Caenorhabditis elegans: one gene and its partners. The protein of the gene in region 1 purifies or fractionates together with the protein of each later gene. This does not show direct contact. Each region holds a gene or a part of one and is shown on either strand. Other genes may lie near its edges.

Region 1 (6,321 bases):
ATGTTAATCAGTTGAGAAATTCTTTGGAAAGACAGTTTGTGGTGAGTTTTCTTTTTTATATTTCTCTGGCCCGGAAAACGCCTCCGAAAAATCAATGCTGCCGTTAGTGGCAAGCGGGGAGGCCCATTCGTCACGGCTTGATCCTGAATCCTTTTCAGCTTAGCGATTCGAAATTTCAGATTCTATGTTAGAAATTCTATATTAGATGATTTTGGGCAAACCTAGATGACCTTTCTTGCAAAGTTTACGCACCTACAGTTCGTTCTATAACGCCTCGAGGCCCCTAAAGGTTGTGTGGGTCCTATACTTAAAACTCTCATCTCAGGAATGCAACGATGTTGTGAGAACAATCTACGAAGGTGTTGACGAGCTATCCGTACTGATTGCCACCTCGAACCACACCAGAAGCATCCGAGGAGCAAAACCCAGGAGACGATTTGATGAAGGTTTACTTTTTCCCCGAATCTGTACTTTTTAAAAACTCTCAAACTGTTCAGATGAAACCACAGGAACCTGTGATGGCTGTTGTATTCCTGGAGCTCCAGGCCCCAGCGGAACCCCAGGAAGACATGGACGCCACGGAGCTCCTGGAGCACCTGGAAGACCAGGAAATCCTGGAGAGCCACCGAGAGGTCCATGTGATCCAACACTTGCAAGCCCATGTGACTGTCCAGCTGGAGAGCCGGGAGAGCCGGGACCCCGTGGGTCACCAGGTAACAATGGATTGCCTGGATTGAAGGGGCGACGTGGATTCGATGGGCTGGATGGACGTCCGGGAAGGCCTGGAAAAACTGGAATCGACGGAGTTCCAGGGACAAAGGGAGAAGACGGAGCTGATGGAGAACCTGGGGAGGTTGATACTTCCGATGTTGGACCACCTGGGGATGATGGAGATGAGGGACAATCAGGAGAAGCCGGACAACCTGGAAATGATGGAAGAGATGGTAAACCAGGACAAGTTGGACCACCGGGACCACCAGGAAAAGATGGAGTGGATGGAGAAAATGGAAATGATGGAGATCTCGGAGAAGCTGGAATTCAAGGAAGACCGGGAGAGGAGGGGATCTGCCCAAAGTAAGTTGGTAGGCCGGCCTACATGATTACCTTGACCTGATTTCAAGGTTACCTAGGAATGCCTGCATGATTACCTAGGCCTGCAGAAATGATAAATTTACACGAAAAATTCCAGGTACTGTGCCATCGACGGAGGAGTCTTCTTTGACAGCGGATCCCGCCGCCGCAGAACTTAACTGATTTTTCTCAATTTCTCTGTCGGTCTCTCTTATTTGCTTTGAAAGGTGCTTTTTAGTGAAACGTGAAGTGCAATAAATAGTTATTGGTTTACTTTATCAGACTGATTGTGTATGTGTGATTCAACCCAAAAAAGTTCATGATAGACAGGTAAAAGGAATGAAAGAAAATTATAATTATTTCAAAAATTAAAAAATCAAAATTACTCGGAAATCCAGGAGGCCTCATTCAGGACGACGGCCTTATTGTCGACGATTTGGTAGGTAGGGACTAGAAATTTTGGAACTTGGGATAAAAAAAACTGAAAAATAAAAATAAAACTCACGAGTCTCATATTCAACCTTTCCGGTTTCAGTGTTGAATCTGGTCACAGCCTCGTTGGAAGTTGGAGCTGGAAATATTGAAGTTTTGTATGGTAGGTAGGTGTTTAATTTTGCCTACTTGGCCGCCTCGTGCTTAGGCAACTTTGTAAGTATGCCGAGGTAACTTTGTAGGTAGACCTAGGTGAAATTGTAGGCTGGTCTAGGTCACCGTGTTGATAGGCCTAGATTACCTTGTAGGTTTGTCTAGGTAAACTTAGGCAAACCTAGGTATTCTTGTAGAAAACAAGAGGCAATCATGTAGGCAGACATAGGTGACCTTGTAGGAAACCTTGTGAATAGGAATACAATTGCATGCAAGTCTCACAATCAGTAGCAATGCTGATAGGTCTAGGCCCTCTTGCAGACCATCCTAGGTCGCCTTGGGGCAGGCAAACTTTTTCAAACTTACATGCACATTGTGTAGTATGCTTGCAGTGTCTGAATTGAGCATTAGACCATTCACGAGCCGATTGGCATCCGAACCATCCGGCTTGAGCCTGAACAAAGCTTTTTTCTCTCTAGCTCAGCAATTGCTAAGACTTACTGGCATAACTGTACGGCATGGTCCCTTGGTGTAGGTGTTCTGCCACGCGTTCATGAGATTCTGAGCATACTTGCAAGCACCATTTGGGTCTTGAGCGGTGGCAGTCATGTAGGTATTCATAGCGGCAGATGTCTCTTGTTGGTAGTTGACGTAGGTGCTCTCGACGCAAGTGGTCAGGGTCTTACGCTCGTACATAGCTGAAGAATGTTCGAAATTTGAAAATCTGCTAAAAGATCAATGGCGCTTACTCCAGAATCCGGCTCCACACTTGAAATCCCAGTCGGCCAAGAATCCTTGGTAAGCGTAGGCGGTGTTAAGATCGAGTCCAGATCCGACGAGTCCGACGGTTCCGAGGCAATTGCGGATTTGAGCTTGTCCAAGGCATCCGTAAAAGGCAGCGTAACCGCTGGAATTTCGGAATTGAAAAGTTAAAGATTTTAAAAAGAAAGGCTTACTTGCAAACATTGACCCATGAGTCAATGACATATGGGGAGACGATGAGAGACTGGGTGATTCTGTCCAAGCTCGCCAAGTCCTTCCAGGCAGAGGTGGTGCTGAAAATATGTTCTGAATGACGGGGTGAAAACAATTTAAAGGTCAATTTCAGGTATCTAGTTTTAAAATCAATACTTGTAGACTGAAAATAATAGTGTTTATCTACTTCTAGAACTACTCGGATCACATTATAGGTATTGATATCTATACTAGGTGTGTTCTGTTGCTACTGACCTTATCAGAACATAATCGCATTAGATTTGCAAATTTTATATGTGGAAGTTTTACTCAATTGGAATTTGAATATTAATATCATCATAAGATTGAGAAAATTAACATTAAGATCAAATTATTATGTATATAACTATGTATATAAGAGCAAAAAATTGTTCATAGAGTTAAATGCAAAAATGTGTGAAAAATTTGAAAAAGTAAGTAGAAAAGCTTAAAATGTCGGTCTATGGTAATTTCAATTTTCTATAGAAATACAATTTTTAAATTATCAATTATACTTTAAAATGTAAATTTTGTTTTAATTGTGCGGCGGTGTTTGCATACTTTTCAAAAATATGTGTTCACCGACTCCACCCGGCAATTTTTTCGCAGTGCCAAGCTGTCCCATTACGGTTTGATCTACAAAAAAACGGGAATTTTTTGCACAAAAAATGCGACCTCAGCACGTTCTCAACCATGCGAAATAAGTTGAGAACTTTGCGTCTCTTCTCCCGCATGTTTTGTAGATCTACGTAGATCAAGGTGAAATGAGACACTCTGACACCACATGATTTTCAAAAAATTAGTCACAATTTCGTTTGTAAAACTTACTCAGTTCTCCAAAAATCTCCTAACTTGCTATTACAAGCCTGAAACTGTGCGCTCACACAGTTGTCAGTTCCGAATTGAGCAACAGCGGCTCCGTAAAGAGCTGAAAATCTCCAAAGTTATTTTTAAACCTTTGTTCGATAAAATCTACGTACCAGCAAAAACGATGGCAAACTTCATGCCGAAAAGGTGATGGTGACGCAGGGCTGGCAAATTGAAAAAGTCGTCTCGGGGATTGATAACGACGGCAAACCGTCGTCGGCGAATATTTGCCTGCTCCCTATCACTATCCAACTCATTTTATTAGGCACTCCTCCCTTCCAACCACTTTCATCTTATTAGCGAGGTGAAAACGCAATTTCAGGGTGTGTTCACACAACGTCATTTTGCAAATGTAATCAAAATTGGACTTTTATTATTTCTAGAATAAAATTTGAAAAATAATATTTTGAAAGTTAGAATAGGATGCTGAAAATTACAATGGAGATGGCGGTGAAGATTGAGAAGTTTGTAGTGGAACCTGAAAAACTATAAATATTGAAAGTGTAGTATCTTGAGTTTGCAGTTATCTGCGTACTTAAAGGCCCACGTATTTATTGAAAAAAAGGTATTGCCGCGAGGAAAAAGTGGGAATTTCTGTGATTTTATCAATAAAAAAACTTGATTAATGTTTTCTTAACTGAATAATTCTTATTAACATACAATTTTTTCGTGGCAAGACCCATTTGAATAAGAGGCATTCTTAAATGAACCTACCTGAATGCTGCCTAATAGCCTGTGCATCTGATAGCCACCTGGATAAATGACCATGAATCCGGATTCTCGCATCTTTCAATGATTGTTTATCCGAATCGCTTGCTGGATACATATCAGCACAATGAGATGTTCCTTCGATCAACCAAGCATCAACATTATTATTCGTGTTATTCCATTTGTAGCCAAGACCATTCCAAGGATCGAAGGATCCGTTTGGAAAAACGACATTGGTTCCACGATATGTGCCAGCTCCTCCGTATTTAGTACGAACTTGATCTACGAGTTTGAAAGTATTATCCAGGGTGTATTCCGGCCCAAAGAGATCAATGCATTGATCGGCGAAGAAACTGAAAATATTTTCAAAATACAGTACTACCTGGCTTTAACGTTTTGTTTGTTCTTACTCAAGTGGAACTGTAGATCCAAAGATTCCACCATTTCCTCCGTCAGTAGTCTGATAATATCCGAGCTCCGTGCAAGTCTGCCAGATCCAACTGCGAGTGCCAACTGGAATTTCAATTCGATTCTACAGTACCTTTACAATACTCGGAAACTCACTGACGTTCTCATTGGGCATTGTAGTGTCCGAATAGGCTTGAATAAAAGCTGTGTAATTATTTGGTCGGCATCCAGACGCTGATGGCTTAAACCAGGAATCATAAAGATTCATCTGGAAGTTAAAATTAGGTGCACTACTAGTAGAGGTACACCTACTACAGCAATAACTCTCTGGACCTCATCTCCAATTGTCGCGTTGTTTAGAAGATCACAAGCTGCAGGAACTCCCAATCCGGATCGTGTAGCATTGCTCTAAAATTGTGTTGTTTTTTGAAGTAATGAAGAGATGTTCATAATGAACCTTATTATCTCCGGTATATTGATTGATTATCTGAAAGTATCCATAGACATTTTGGAAAAAAAATTGCACGGCTTTTGATAGATTCGTCTCGTCGAAGCTGTCACAAAGACTGGAAAAATTGGATTTAGGACATATTGGTTAAGCTCGTGATAGTATTTTCAGAACTTCCCAAAAAGGTATGTCCTTTTTGTGAAAAAAATAATTCTGGAAGAAACTAAATCCTGCCAAAACTGACAAAAGCTAAGAATCTCAAATTTTTGAGAGATTTCAATGATATTAAAATTAAAATCATTTTTTCTCAAAAACTAGGTACATATTTTATTTATGAAACCCACTTGAATTGTTGTTTAAGAAGTGCACGGCTATCCGATCCATTATATGCTTTAGTGATAAGCTTTTGGAATGCAACCTTGATAACATCTCCACAGGAGTCACTAACAGTTCTATAAGTCTTTTCAGTATTAATAGCATATCCATAATAATCTACAAATACATGAACAGCAGAAGAAGATGATACTGCTCCTGCAGTCATTTCTGGATATGTTTCTCTAAAGAAAGCAGACAATGATCCAGGATATGATCCTCCGAATGTCACCCAAATTGGTTTGTCATCTTTGAAATAAAGTGCATTTATTTGAGTAATAAACTCTTTAATATCAGCAAGTGCCTGATCAATTGTCAAAAGCTTCATGCTCGCTGTTGTCTGATCTCCAATTGGGGAATATTCTTTAGATCCGTAAAATCTGTGCTCGACTTGAAAAGCGGCGGCTTGGAACTCTGCCACCCATTTCATCATGGTTTCTCCTTCATGACGGATCCATCTATCTCCATTAGTTTTATTGATGGAACTTTCACCACCAATCATCAGGAAGACGTATCCAGTTGTTTTGTTGTAAAATTTCCAATTGTATTGGTAGTGCTGAAGAGGTTTTTTTTTGACACAAGACACGCCTCTTTGGGATTTTTTTCGGTATTTTCCACCGAACGTTTTTGTAAATTCTTATTAATTTTTGTCCGATTAAAAGTGATAACAGAACAAAAATCATACATTTGATGAGTCAACAAATTCGTTCAAGTACGCAAAGGGGCTTTAATATTTCTAAGTCACGCTTCACATACACCTAGGGGGACTCACCTGTTGCCAAACTCCAATATTTGTTCCATTTGAGAAATGGTCGACTTTCTGTGTAATATTCGAGTAAATCATATATTTTGCATCTGTAGTAGGTCCT
Region 2 (6,530 bases), on another chromosome or scaffold:
GGTAATCTAGTTTTTCACTAATTTTTTGTATGGTTTTAACGTTCAGAGTTCTTGCGCATCTTCTGGAACATGATGATGTTATTGCTATGCCGAATAGTGAAATTTTCTTGGTCACTCCTGCTGGACCAAGTGACCTCGGAAACTATGTTGAAACTATGGAAGTTTTGTTTAACACTCAAGCACACGTAAGTAACAGCTAACTCGATGAATCATACATGTTCGAATTTTCAGTTGCACTATGTCGTCTCCAAGACCGCAAACTGTGCAACATTCGATGGTGTCAATAATGTCAGAGACATGACATGGCTTGGATACGGATCAAGCGGAAACATCTTGTTCACTGATCCTGCAAACATTGTCAACGTGAGTGTAGCATTGTTTATCAACTAGTTAGCACAATATATCAATTTTACAGCTTTTCAATTCTTATCTTCCAACTCTGTACGGAGCTTCAGTTCTTCAAGATCCTACCGGCATCACGAACTACACCTGTTCCGATGGATCTCTTCCTTGGTTTGTGCCAGTTGATATCAACACAACATTTATCTACGTCACCACTTCTGCCGAGTTTGGTTCACTTTCTGTCAAGGATCCTCTTGGAGGTTAGTCGTTTTTTTTTAAATATTATCAACACCTCGACTTGTTTCAGCGGCTCACAGTGCTACCCCAGTTTACAACGTGAATGATCAAAAGATCTACGCAATTGAAGTAGACAGACTTGGAGGAATCTGGACACTCCAACTTGTTCAGCCTCCAGGATTGTGCCTTGCACATGTCTATTCAACTGGTGGAGCGAAGGTCTACACAAAGTTCTCGATGCCAAACCCAATCGGAGGAAAGCCTGATCCACTTGGTTCACATCAGGATGGACGTTTCGTACAACCAACAGCTGGTTTTGACAATGTCGCTGTTTTCCATCTTGCTGGCAATCCATTCCACAGAGGACAATTGCAGTATGTAGAAATCTTCGATATTGGAGCTAACTCAATCACAGTAAGCAACATTAAAATTGTCCCTTCACAAGAGAATAAACTCAGAAGTGATAAAATTTCAGAACATTCTCCGATCAGAGCTCTACGTTCGAGCAGGCTGCTCTTACGAGTACTACTCTGATTTGTTCACTTGCAACGGCGACATGATTGCCGTCTATGTTCATGGAGTTGATGAAGCAAACCAAAAGTTCAGAAGACAAGAAATTGTCATCTGCAATGGTAATATACGCTTACTTGTTTAATTGTGCAAGAAATTTTTCAGGACGTAGCCCAACAACCAACCAGCCAGCAACAGGAACAATTGGCCCAATCACCATGCCAACTCAACAAACCGCGCTGACTCAAGGTCCAGTAACTCAGCAAACTCAAGTCCCAGGAACTCAACCAACTCAGGGACCAGTCGCCACGGTAAATTTCAAGTATTACTGGTGATTTAGAAATTCTGAACTTACAGACCCAAAATCCATACACATCCGCTCAGTTTGATGTTGTATTTATGATCGATGGATCACAAAGTGCACAATCCAGCTTTGACTCGGTATACATTATATGCCCTTTATGTTTCCATCATATGAATTTCAGCTCACCAAATTTGTTCAAACATTCATGGTTTCGTTCAATGTTGGCCAGAGTGGAGCTCGTGTTGGATTAATTGTCGTCGGAGGTGATATCACAAACCCAATTCCTCCTGCTGCCAATCTGAACTCCCTCTCCTCTCAAGCAATGTTGAACTCTAACTTGGCCCAACTCAGCGGTGGCTACACTGACTTTGAAGACGCCGGGCAAATTCTTAACTACACTCTTCAAATTGTGTCTTCTCCCGATTTCATGGCGGCGAACAATGGTTACCGTAGTGGCATTAGCAACCATGTGTTGATCTACCTTACTACAACTACTGCGTAAGTGTTCAAAAGATTGCCAGATAAAATTAATATTTTTTAGCTTCGACACCGATCCAACTCCGGCAGCTCAGACAATTCTCGCGCAGAAGCAATACGGAATCATCACTATTGGTTATGGTGGCGCGACTGATAACAACAAGTTGCAAACTATTTCCGGAGGAAGTGCTTGCTCGTTTACAGCTCCAGATTTTGCTAGTTTGAATAACCAAATTAAGACCATTCAGCAACTTATCCTCAATGCCAAGTAAGATATATAAGTGTGTTCATTAAGTGAAATGTTCTTATTTTCAGCGCCAATGGAGGTGTCTACTGTATCAACAACTAAGGCAGTCGACCCGGAAATCACTGAAATAATTTGAATTTTAATAAACTTATCATTATTTAACAATTTATGTGTTGGACCGAAAAATCAAAATTACGAGAGAAAAAATATAATACAAAAGTGAAATGTGATGGCAATTCAATAAACTTTACTAGTGGTTGAACTTCAAGTCGAAATCATCAGAAAGTGCTTGATAATAATTTGATGATACAAAATCGTATTCTGTGACATTATTCTGCTACTACTCAATTAGAATGCAAAGGGCGTGGAATAAATTTTAATACTGTTTGAGATGGCAAAGATAAGAGTTTGCCACGGTGATATGACGTGCCGGACACACTCTCCTTTTGCGATTAAAAAGGGTTTAAATCATTATTTCATGATAATTTCATTAGATTTGCCAGGCTGCTCCTGCCTTTTCACATTCATTTTCAGAACTCAATACCTTTTACGATATTTAGTTTTTTTGGAGTTTAAGAGCAATTAAATTAATGTGAAATTTCAGTAATGAGAAGCTGGGTTTTGATTGCGGCGTTAGCCGTGATCTGCCTGGGCGCTGAGCCTGAGCTCAGTCACAAAGAGAGAATCCGCAAAGTCTTAAAGTCATGGAACCCGGCCAACAGTAATCAACTCTTCCACCCAGTCAGTGAACAGAAGATTCAATTCGATGAGCAGTCCGATCTCTTTGTAAGTTCTAGATTTCGTTTAACTATGTTCCATATATGGTTTCAGGTTGATACTCATCATATCTCCAAAAGATCTATCGCCGAGCCTCATGTTTTTGCTGGAATGGCCACCAGAGGATGTAACAAGCCAGGATACACAGGAGCCACCTGTCAATATCGTAAGTCGGATCACATATGTGTTTTTAAACTAAAAATGCAATTTCTTAGCATTGTGCTCTGCTCGCAATCCTTACATTCCTGATAACAAGGATTCTGACGATATCTCTATTGATGCAACAAATCTTGCAAACTGCAGTCAAACATACGTCGTTGTTGTTGATGAGACCATGCGGAATATCAAAATTGAGGTCGAAACTGAGTCACCATTGAATCCAACTTTCTACCTCCAATCTGAGAGTGGAGATCTGATCTTCCCTGACACTGACAGAAAAACCGTAACTTCCTATGTGGCAACATATGAGACTTTAGCGCCAGGCCAGTATCTTCTCGGACCAAGAGCTGATTCTGGAGATGAATTTTGTACTATGATGATGACCGCTCATACCAATATTCAAGTTACTGGAGGTTTTACATCAGGCGATCAACCAGAGCGCAGCGACTATCCAACCCTCAAGTTTGCCTATTTTGACACTGAATCAGCTGTTGTTCTTCATGCACAAGGACTACACTTTCCCGGTCAAATTCAGGCGATTGGATTCACTGGCGCCGAGAACCATATCTCAAGATACATTCCTATGGCAACTCGCTTCAATTGTACTTATCCATATATTTTGGAGAGGTATACTTGCAGAAAAATTGGAAATAACGATATTGGGCACAATTTATTACAGGTAAGTGCAATGAATTGATATAAATTGCAATCATAAAAGTTCAGGTTGAAGGAATGAGCGATAACGGATACGTTTTCCGTCGTATTCTGCCCTACCAATGTATTTGTAAGTGAACGTAGTTGACAACAATAATCAACCTGAGTAATTTAGTGCCACCAGTGTCTACCACCACTGTCCCTGCTCCAACAACAACCGCTGCTCCATTGACAACCTGCCAGAACGGAGGTCAAGTTTTGAAGGATTCCAGTGGTTCACCATACTGTTACTGTTTTGGACTATACACCGGACGTGACTGTTCTCAGATGTTGTGTGCTAATGGAGGTGAATACTGTAACTAGAGCTGTTAAATAGAAAACGCTATGTTGCCATTGATGTGCTACATGGTTGATAACACAAAGACAACCTTCTAAAAAGGACACTTTTTTGAGCCAGCCTAAATTGGTCATCAAATATTTTATTTTTCAGGATTCCTTCCAACTCCCACAAGCGAACATTGTGAATGTCCAGAAGGATTCACCGGTTTCCACTGTCAAAATAGTAAGTCGCCTCGGAAAATAAACTGATCACAAATGCATTACAGTTGTCTGCCCTGGTGCATCCGGAATTGATTTCAATGCTGAAAACCCGACTGTTACTCTGGTCATTCGTTCTAGAAGCCAATTGTCAGATGTTATTCAACAGGCCACAAATTCAGTTTCAAGAATTGTCGATGAACTATCTGCCGAGCCTGGCTATCTCACTAATTTCATCGTTGTGCTCTTTGATAACGCCAGTGAGTTGATTTGCAACTAATTTACCGGGGTGGCTCCCATAAGCCTACCTTCTTATCAGGAAACGGTAATGCATTATATTTTAATTTTTAGAGCTTTTGGTAAACCAGAGATATGACTCATGGGATGCCGCTATGGTTGATCTACTTAAAGCGATTAACTCTGCCCCATCCGACGGTGGATGTGATGATGTTGTTTTCTCTGCTGTTGCGTAAGTATCGACTAGTTTTTCAATGTTTTACAGAATCTTCATGGTTGTTTTACAGATCTGCTCTTTCTCTTTATCCAACTAACAAATCACCAATCTATGTAATCACTGATGCCAATCCAAATGATAGCACTGAGAAGCAAACAATTGTACACTTGGAATCTTATTGGAGAGCACCAGTATGGAAAATTTATTAAATTTAAAGTTATTCGAAAATACCAGAATGTTTCAGGTCTACTTCATTTACGTGCAACCAGCAATTGGAAGTGGCTGCAATACTTCACCCGATAGTGCTGGGTACAGAGATATGGTCGATATGGCTGCGATGTCCAGCGGAAACACGTTCTACTTTAACAACAGAACCACTATCTCCAACGTATGTTTCTTTAATTCTTTAATATTAATGCATTATATTTTAAGTTCTTCTACGTTCATATGTACAACACGTTGTTCCGCTCTCAACTTGCTCTATCTGGAGATTACTCTCACTGTGCTAATCAAAACATCTACAAATCGGTTGCAGTTGACGTGACTGCTGATCAAGTTGTCGTTGTTGCTACAGGATCTAACTTGAAACTTCAAGTCACAACCCCAACCGGAGCACACCCTGACTTCTTTGTTGCATTCAATGATGGTGTTAACTACATTTGGACCTCCAACCAAATCTTCGCTGGACAATGGTTCTTCAATTTGGTTTCCGACTCACCAAACTCTGCGTGTACCTTCAAAGTATACCAGAAGAAGTATAACCTTGGTGGAATGAGCCAATACAATCCAGACTATGACATTTTCTGGTCTTTCGCAACTACCCTCACTTCTGCAGCCGGAGTTCTCCGCCAACCAGTTGCTGGTTTTGATGCTTCTCCTGTTTTCCATGTTTCCAACTACCCCGAATTCATTTCTATGGACCGCGTGCACGCCAATCTTCAGATTTATGCTATCCGCGACGGAGTTCAAACAGAGGTTTACGGATCAAGTGGAATGTACAGAGATGCTTGTGAATTCCACTTCTACTTCCCACCATTCATCTGTAATGTCCCCGATGAAGTTCTTTACTTCAACTTCTTCGCTCGTGATAACAATGATATGGCTCTCCAACGTGCTGGAACAATGCTCTGTTCGGCTGTTCATCCAACACCACCACCACAACATCAATGCCAAAACGGAGGAGTTATGAATCCAACCAACACGACATGCTTCTGTACTCCACAATTTACTGGAACGTACTGCCAGAACATTGTTTGCTACAACGGAGGAACTGTTAGTGGAGGACAGTGTGTATGCCCGCCTGGATACGCAGGTGAAAGCTGTGAGGTGCCAAGATGTATTGAAACTGGACCAAATCCTGAATTCATCCGTTACGGAGTTGACATGGTGTTCGCTGTCGAAATTACTCAGCAATCTCTTGCTTCAATTGTCATGCTTGACAATAACTTCCAAGAAATTCTCCGCGACGTTCAAATGCAAGATCGCGGATGGATCAGAAACTTTGTACTTGTTGGATTCAACTCAACATGGGGTGGACCAATTGCTCAGTCACCTTCAAATAATCTCACGGCTATCATTGCCGCATTGCACAACCTTGCAACCAATGTTCCATCAGATAATGGTTGTAGCGTCAAACTTTGGGATGCCTTGAATCATGCCATCTTTGCCAGAGACTTAGTTCCAGGATCTTTCATCGAAATTTTCCAAACAACTCCAGAATATGAGCTCGATCAGCGCTCTCTCGGCTTGTTCTATGATATGTCACGTGCCATGGATATTAGCTTGTACGGATTTTTGACTGCAAAGCCAACGCTATTGCCGGCAGGATTTGT
Region 3 (6,565 bases), on another chromosome or scaffold:
GACTTGTCCGTTAGAGAACTGAAGTGGAATGAGTCTGACAGCATTAGAAATTTCATTTGCTTGCAGGCTATAAGTAGTTCCGGTAGATCCACTGACAATTCCGAGAAGAGTATAATAGTTTTCGACGGTGGCGTTGCAAACAAATCCTTCCGGTTGTAAACGTGGATTTGAAGTCAAGAAACCGTAAAGAACCAGTTCCATTGTTCTAGACATATCATAGAAAAGACCAAGCGAACGAGTATCAGTATCATCTTCTGGAGTGGTTTGGAAGATTTCTACAAAAGATCCCGGTGCCATTTGTCTGGAGAAAATGGCATAATTCAAAGCATCCCAAAGTTTGACAGTACATCCAGTATCGGCTGGAACTGAAGAAGCAAGAGTGCGAAGAGCAGTGGTGATTGCAGTGAGGTTATCAGCTGGTGATTCAGCAATTGGTCCTCCCCATGTAGAGTTGAAACCGACCAGAACAAAGTTTCTAATCCATCCACGATTTTGCATGAGAACGTCGCGGAGAATTTCTTGGAAGTTGATATTGAGCATGGAAAGTGAAGCAATAGAATTCTGAGTGATTTCAACGGCAAACACCATGTCAACTCCATAACGGATGAATTCAGGATTTGGTCCTGTTTCAATACATCTTGCCATCTCACAGCTCTCACCAGCGTAACCAGGTGGGCAGACGCAATGATCTCCGCTAGCTGTTCCTCCATTGTAACAAATAATGTTCTGACAGTACGTTCCTGTGAACTCCGGAGTACAGAAGCAAGTGGTGTTCGATGGGTTCATTACTCCTCCATTTTGGCATTGATGATCTGGTGGCGGGGTAGGATGAACGGCAGCACAGAACATAGTTCCGGCACGTTGAAGAGCCATGTCATTATTATCACGAGCAAAGAAATTGAAGTAAAGAACTTCTTCTGGAACACGGCAAGTGAATGGTGGGAAGTAGAAGTTGAATTCACAGGCATCTCTGTACATTCCACTTGATCCGTAAACCTCGGTTTGAACTCCGTCACGAATAGCATAAATCTGAAGATTGGCATGCACACGGTCCATTGAGAGGAACTGAGGGTAGTTGGTAACATGGAAAACTGGAGATGAATCAAATCCAAGAACTGGCTGACGTAGAACTCCTGCTGCCGAAGTAAGAGTAGAAGCGAATGACCAGAAAATATCATAGTCGGGGCTGTATTGAGTTTGTCCGCCAAAGTTGAACTTCTTCTGATAAACCTTAAACGTGCAAGCTGCTTCTGGTTCAAGTGATCTGATAGAGAAGAACCATTGACCAGCAACTGGCGAGTTATACGTCCAAACATAGTTCACACCATCAGAAAAGGCGGTGTTGAAAGTTGGATACTGTCCTGTTGGGCTTGTCACAACTAGAGTCAAATTTGTTCCAGTGGCTACAATTGTAACGTAGTCAACGCTAAGATCAAAGGCAGCTGACTTGTACAGATTCTGGCTGGAGCAGTGTGAGTAATCTCCGGAAAGAACAAGTTGGGATCGGAACAAGGTGTTAAGCATGTGTCGGTAGAAGAACTATAAAAGTTAATTGATATGGGAGATATAAAGTGAAGTGACTTACGGTCGAAATAGTGCTTCTGTCGCTGAAATAGAAAGTGTTACCACTTGAACGAGCAGCCATGTCCACCATATCTCTATATGCAGAGTTATCTGGAGATGAGTTACATCCATCGGCTGGAGATGGTTGAACGTAAATGAAGTAGATCTGAAATTTAAATAGAGTCAACATTATTTGCTTTCATGTTATTTACCGGTGCTCTCCAATAAGATTCCAGATGGAACACAGTTTCCTTCTCAGCACTATCATTTGGAGTGGCGTCCGTAATCACATAGATCGGGGATTTGTTTGTTGGATAGAGAGAAAGTGCAGATCTGTAATGAATTAGCATTTTTAAACATTATTACATACCAGTGAACTTACGCAACAGCAGACATGACAACATCATCACATCCTCCTTCGCTTGGAGCGGAATGGATAGCTTTTGTAAGATCGACCATTGCAGCGTCCCATGAATCATATTGTCTGTTCACCAAGAGCTCTGAAATAATACACTTTCATGTCAAATATGTTTTAGATCAAAACTCACTTCCGTTATCAAAAAGAACAACAATGAACTTTGATAGATATCCAGGTTCACTAGCGAGAAGATCAACAATACTTTGAACAGACTCAGTTGCTTGTTCAATAACTGCAGAGAGCTGGCTTCTTGATCGGATGACAAGGGTGAGAGTTGGGTTTTCAGCGTTGAAGTCAAAGCCTGACATGTCGGTACACAAGACTGCAAAGTTATTATGTTTTAACAGATAATTTTTACTAGTGCATACTATTCTGGCAATGGAAGCCACTGAATCCTTCTGGGCATTGACAACGGTCACTGGTTGGAGTCGGCAAGAAACCTTAATAGTTATTATAAAAAATATATAATTTCAAGGATGAATTGTACCTCCGTTAGCACAGAGCATTTGCGAGCAAGTACTTCCAGAGTAAAGTCCAAAGCAATAACAATATGCAACTCCATTAGAGTCAGTAAGCAACTGCCCTCCGTTTTGACAAGAAGTTATCGGTGCTGCAGGTGTTGTCGGGACAGCGGGGGTAGTAGTTGTTACTGGTGGTACTGAAAAGGTACTTTTTCTTAAAAGTCTTATATAAACTTCTTATATACACTACAAAGAAACTCACAGACGCATTGGTAAGGAACAATACGACGGAACTTGTAGCCAGAGTTAGTCACACCCTCCACCTGAAAACAAAAATTTGAATGTTTAGCACCTTTGGTTCAATCGAACTTGAATGAGATTGTGTCCAGCATCGTTATTGCTGGTTTTTCTGCAAGTGTATCTCTCCAAGATGTATGGATAAGTACAGTTGAAACGGGTTGTCATTGGAATGTATCTTGAGATGTGGTTCTCGGCACCGGTAAATCCAATTGCTTGGATTTGACCAGGAAAGTCCAAACCTTGAGCATGAATTGCAACAACCGACTCAGTATCGAAATATGTAAACTTGAGATTTGGATAGTCACTACGCTCGGCTTGATCTCCTGAAGTGAATCCACCGGAAACATGAATGCTACTGCGGGATGACATCATCATTGTACAAAACTGCTCGCTGGTGTCGGCTCGTGGTCCAAGCATATATTGTCCGGGAGGCAGATGCAAATAATTTGCAGTGAACATTGTTGGAAGTTGAATGGATTCGTCTGGGAATATGAGATCTCCATTTTCAGCTTGAAGATAGAATGTTGGGTTCAATGCTGACGCCGTCTCGACTTCAATTTTGATATTCCGCATCGTCTCGTCAACGACGACGATGTATGATTCAGAGCAATTAGCCAGATTGTAAGCATCAATTGCAATGTCATCAAATCCGTCGTTGTTCGGAATGTACGGGTTGCGAGCAGAACAGAGGGCTGAAAAATTTCTGCGTCATGGAACATTTTAGAAATATAAATCTTAAAACTCACGATATTGGCAAGTTTCACCGGTGTACCCTGGCTTGTTGCATCCTCGAGTAGCCATTCCAGCCAAAACGTGTGGTTCAGCAATGGATCTTTTGGAAATATGATGGGTGTCCAACTGAAATTAAAAATTCGAATCGCACCTGTTTGCTAGACCTTACAAAAATAACCCTTTCTTCCATAGTCCTGTACTTTTGCTCTCTGACTGGCTCGAAAAACTGCTTCTGCGATGCCGGACTCCATGATCTCAAAACCGCGCGTATTCTGTCCTTGTGACTGAGCTCCTGCTCAGTCGCCAGGCAGATCACGGCCAGGGCCGCAATCAAAACCCAGTTCCTCATTTCTAAATAAAAAATATTAGTTTTTTTGGAAGCAAACTTGAAGGGGTATTATCAACAGCTTAAAATGAAAAAGAAGCACTGGAGTAATGCGACTAAAAGTACTATCAAGAAAACCTTATAGCAATCAAAGTCGTTAAATAAGAAAATGGGTTGGGCACGCTCGTAACATCGTGGCAACTTCTTATCTTTCAATGCTATGCATAAGGGCATAATAAAATTTTCCCCCGGGCTCTCCTGATTTTTCATGTTCTTGTTAACAATAAAACGCCTTACATTTTTATGAGTCAAAATTCAAAACATAAAATTTGCTCGGACAATAAAAGAACCTCGACATTTAGAATTCACAATCGAATTACCAGAGTTACCAAAAAACAAAAAGTCAATAGAATTGAAAATGATGATACATGAAATAAAGCATAGAAAAAATGGGAAATCTCAAACAGACATGGTTTTCATACGGGTAGGCACGGTTATGCTTGAAGATGGGAAAGAAGACAAAACAACCATGCTGGCAATTGTCAATGGCTAGAGATCCAACTTGCAGACCAGGCTTGGATGCCACCAGTCGCTATGATAAAAATAAAGTAATTTTGAAAAGGGAAACAGTTCAGATATTGTATATCAAAATGAGCTATTCTAGTTTAGTGGCGGATTCGTTTGATGAGCAAGTAAGCGTCTCTTGGGCTAATACGATAGTAGTCCTCGATAATTCCGTCATTGGTGAAGCCATGCTTCTCATAGAATTGCACCGCATTTTTGTTGTTGACCTGGAAAATTACTTTTTTTCAGATCCACTTTTTTCTGGATACCTGCACATGTAAGTACATGGTCTTAATTTCTTCCATCTTATTGCACAATTTTAATGCGTAGTCGATGAGAATTGTACCAATACCGATTCTGAAATAGCACATTTTATTACCTCGTAAAACGCCCTTGGTATAATAATTAACGCTATTAAAACCGTCATTTTCAGGTAGAACTGTACCAAAAAAACGTCATTGATAAGGTAAATTTGATCTGACTCAAAACTCACTGTCGGTAGGCGGCAAGGGTTCCAAGTGTCATGAGATACAACGACTTCTCGTCTGAAATATCGTCAATGCGACAGCACACGGCGCCCACGACGACATCGTTGTAGTAGGCAAGACGTCCAAGTTCTCCGCAATATCGAGCTTCCACATAGAACTTGTCGTTGTAGGCAATTGGGAAGACATCTTCATTGAGCTTTTTCAGTTGCTGAAATTATAGTAAATTGAAAAATCGAGTTTCGAGTTTTATGAAGTTCGTGTATTTTTTGTTGAGGTTTGAAAAACAAATAGGATTTCAGAAATCGCGTTTTACTGATGAAAATGGGAAGGCTAAATTAAATTTAAAAGGTGGAGGTTAAAATCATCTGTTTGGTTCAAGAGTGAGTGAAGACCTTCAGCAAACTTTGAGTGTGCTTCAGCAAACTTTGAGTTCAACTACTTGTCTGACATGCTCGGTAGGCTACAACGTATTTTAACAGCTCATTCTATGCCAATTTACACAATTTTCACAGGTACAGAATACAGGGCAATGTTGAAAGCTTCAAAAATGAACAGCAAAGTCGGCCTAGGTTTGCTTTTTTAGCCATTCACAGAATATATATAAATCGGAACAGAATTTTATTGAGTGGGCTCACATTCACTGCGTGCAAGAGTAATATTCAATTTTTTAAGACGCAAAAATTAAGGCTACATCATATTCACATTGATCGAGAAAATATGGGTTTCATTTAATATTATGAATTCTAGTTCGTTTCATAACATACATTTCCTTCAACAAATTAATAAATTCTCACCAAAATGTTGTGCGGCGTAATTTCTCCCAAATGAACTGTCCCATGACCGGCAATTGTTTTCAGTGCTTTTCCATTCACGTCAAATTTATTAATCAATGGCACCAGTTGATCAACTTGATCCTGCTTCTCTGGCTCAACTGAATCGGAAACTTTTTCGGGTGTGCTCACTGCTTCGGTATTTTCTGCATCGCTTTTTGTTGGGCTATTCTTTTCATCGTTACTCTCGGATGCTCTTTTCTGCTGCTGTTGCTTCTTGGCTCTTTTCTTGGCACTTTTACTCATCGTGTGGTCTGACTCGTTGTTGGTCTGCTGATCGTTCATTTTGCGGTGGCTGAAAAAAAAGTTTTGACGTTTGAAGAATAATATAGAAAAAACTGAAGGAATTGAAGAAGAGACAAGAAATCACTTACATGACACCGAAATAAATAAGAGGCTAGCAGAAACAGAAAGAACAATGAGCATTGGTTAGTAAAACACGGAGGATAACCGCGCGCAAATTGTGTTTATTCAAAACAATCGCCCTCTGTTTAGCGTTGCGGAGCGTCGTTTGTACATACGAAACTAATGTGACTAGCCGGGAAAGAGAGGAGACGAGAAGAGAACACATGTGTTAAGAGGCAGGTGACGACGGCCACCTCGTGGTGGCTTTTGTTTAAAATAAAATCGGAAGTATAAAAAATAGTTTATTAACACAAGAATTCAAAAAAAAATTAACACGAAAACTTAAATCCCTTACAAGTTCAATTAAAATATATATTCATTTATTTATGTTTGATGTTTAATAACGTCATAGAAATTTTTTTATTGCAAGACATATGTATGAGTCAGGTTGATTCGTCTAACAAAAAACGAATCACCTGGAAAGAATGATGGGCGCGGTCGAACACGAAAGATTTCAAATTAAATTTTATTGGTGTTGA

The links.
Region 2: the proteins of nspg-10 (region 1) and hrg-11.2 fractionate together in Caenorhabditis elegans (co-fractionation; one large-scale study listed by BioGRID). This does not show direct contact.
Region 3: the proteins of nspg-10 (region 1) and irg-7 fractionate together in Caenorhabditis elegans (co-fractionation; one large-scale study listed by BioGRID). This does not show direct contact.

The regions. Positions count from the first base shown.
Region 1 is NC_003282.8:4,603,223-4,609,543, reverse strand, and holds nspg-10 (uncharacterized protein), read right to left. Parts: upstream 3,759-6,321; 5' UTR 3,655-3,758; coding exon 3,630-3,654; intron 3,578-3,629; coding exon 3,478-3,577; intron 2,712-3,477; coding exon 2,613-2,711; intron 2,564-2,612; coding exon 2,406-2,563; intron 2,355-2,405; coding exon 2,158-2,354; intron 2,111-2,157; coding exon 2,023-2,110; intron 1,643-2,022; coding exon 1,577-1,642; intron 1,522-1,576; coding exon 1,454-1,521; 3' UTR 1,327-1,453; downstream 1-1,326. Other genes in the region: col-110 (Nematode cuticle collagen N-terminal domain-containing protein), read left to right, coding at 1-41, 326-446, 498-1,074, 1,190-1,250; F19C7.4 (Serine protease K12H4.7), read right to left, coding at 3,930-3,994, 4,231-4,577, 4,635-4,737, 4,789-4,900, 4,945-5,040, 5,090-5,198, 5,425-6,008, 6,225-6,321.
Region 2 is NC_003284.9:3,231,600-3,238,129, reverse strand, and holds the start of hrg-11.2 (C-type LECtin), read left to right. Parts: upstream 1-2,721; 5' UTR 2,722-2,723; coding exon 2,724-2,903; intron 2,904-2,948; coding exon 2,949-3,060; intron 3,061-3,109; coding exon 3,110-3,732; intron 3,733-3,776; coding exon 3,777-3,837; intron 3,838-3,882; coding exon 3,883-4,053; intron 4,054-4,197; coding exon 4,198-4,269; intron 4,270-4,312; coding exon 4,313-4,504; intron 4,505-4,595; coding exon 4,596-4,713; intron 4,714-4,768; coding exon 4,769-4,889; intron 4,890-4,942; coding exon 4,943-5,086; intron 5,087-5,130; coding exon 5,131-6,530. Other genes in the region: Protein irg-7, read left to right, coding at 1-1, 47-185, 232-363, 416-602, 650-993, 1,055-1,211, 1,255-1,400, 1,447-1,530 and 3 more.
Region 3 is NC_003284.9:3,239,802-3,246,366, forward strand, and holds the start of irg-7 (Protein irg-7), read right to left. Parts: upstream 3,836-6,565; 5' UTR 3,824-3,835; coding exon 3,644-3,823; intron 3,601-3,643; coding exon 3,489-3,600; intron 3,435-3,488; coding exon 2,812-3,434; intron 2,766-2,811; coding exon 2,705-2,765; intron 2,640-2,704; coding exon 2,469-2,639; intron 2,422-2,468; coding exon 2,350-2,421; intron 2,304-2,349; coding exon 2,112-2,303; intron 2,064-2,111; coding exon 1,946-2,063; intron 1,897-1,945; coding exon 1,776-1,896; intron 1,730-1,775; coding exon 1,586-1,729; intron 1,540-1,585; coding exon 1-1,539. Other genes in the region: F40F4.7 (N-terminal methionine N(alpha)-acetyltransferase NatE), read right to left, coding at 4,465-4,590, 4,633-4,720, 4,857-5,059, 5,646-5,966.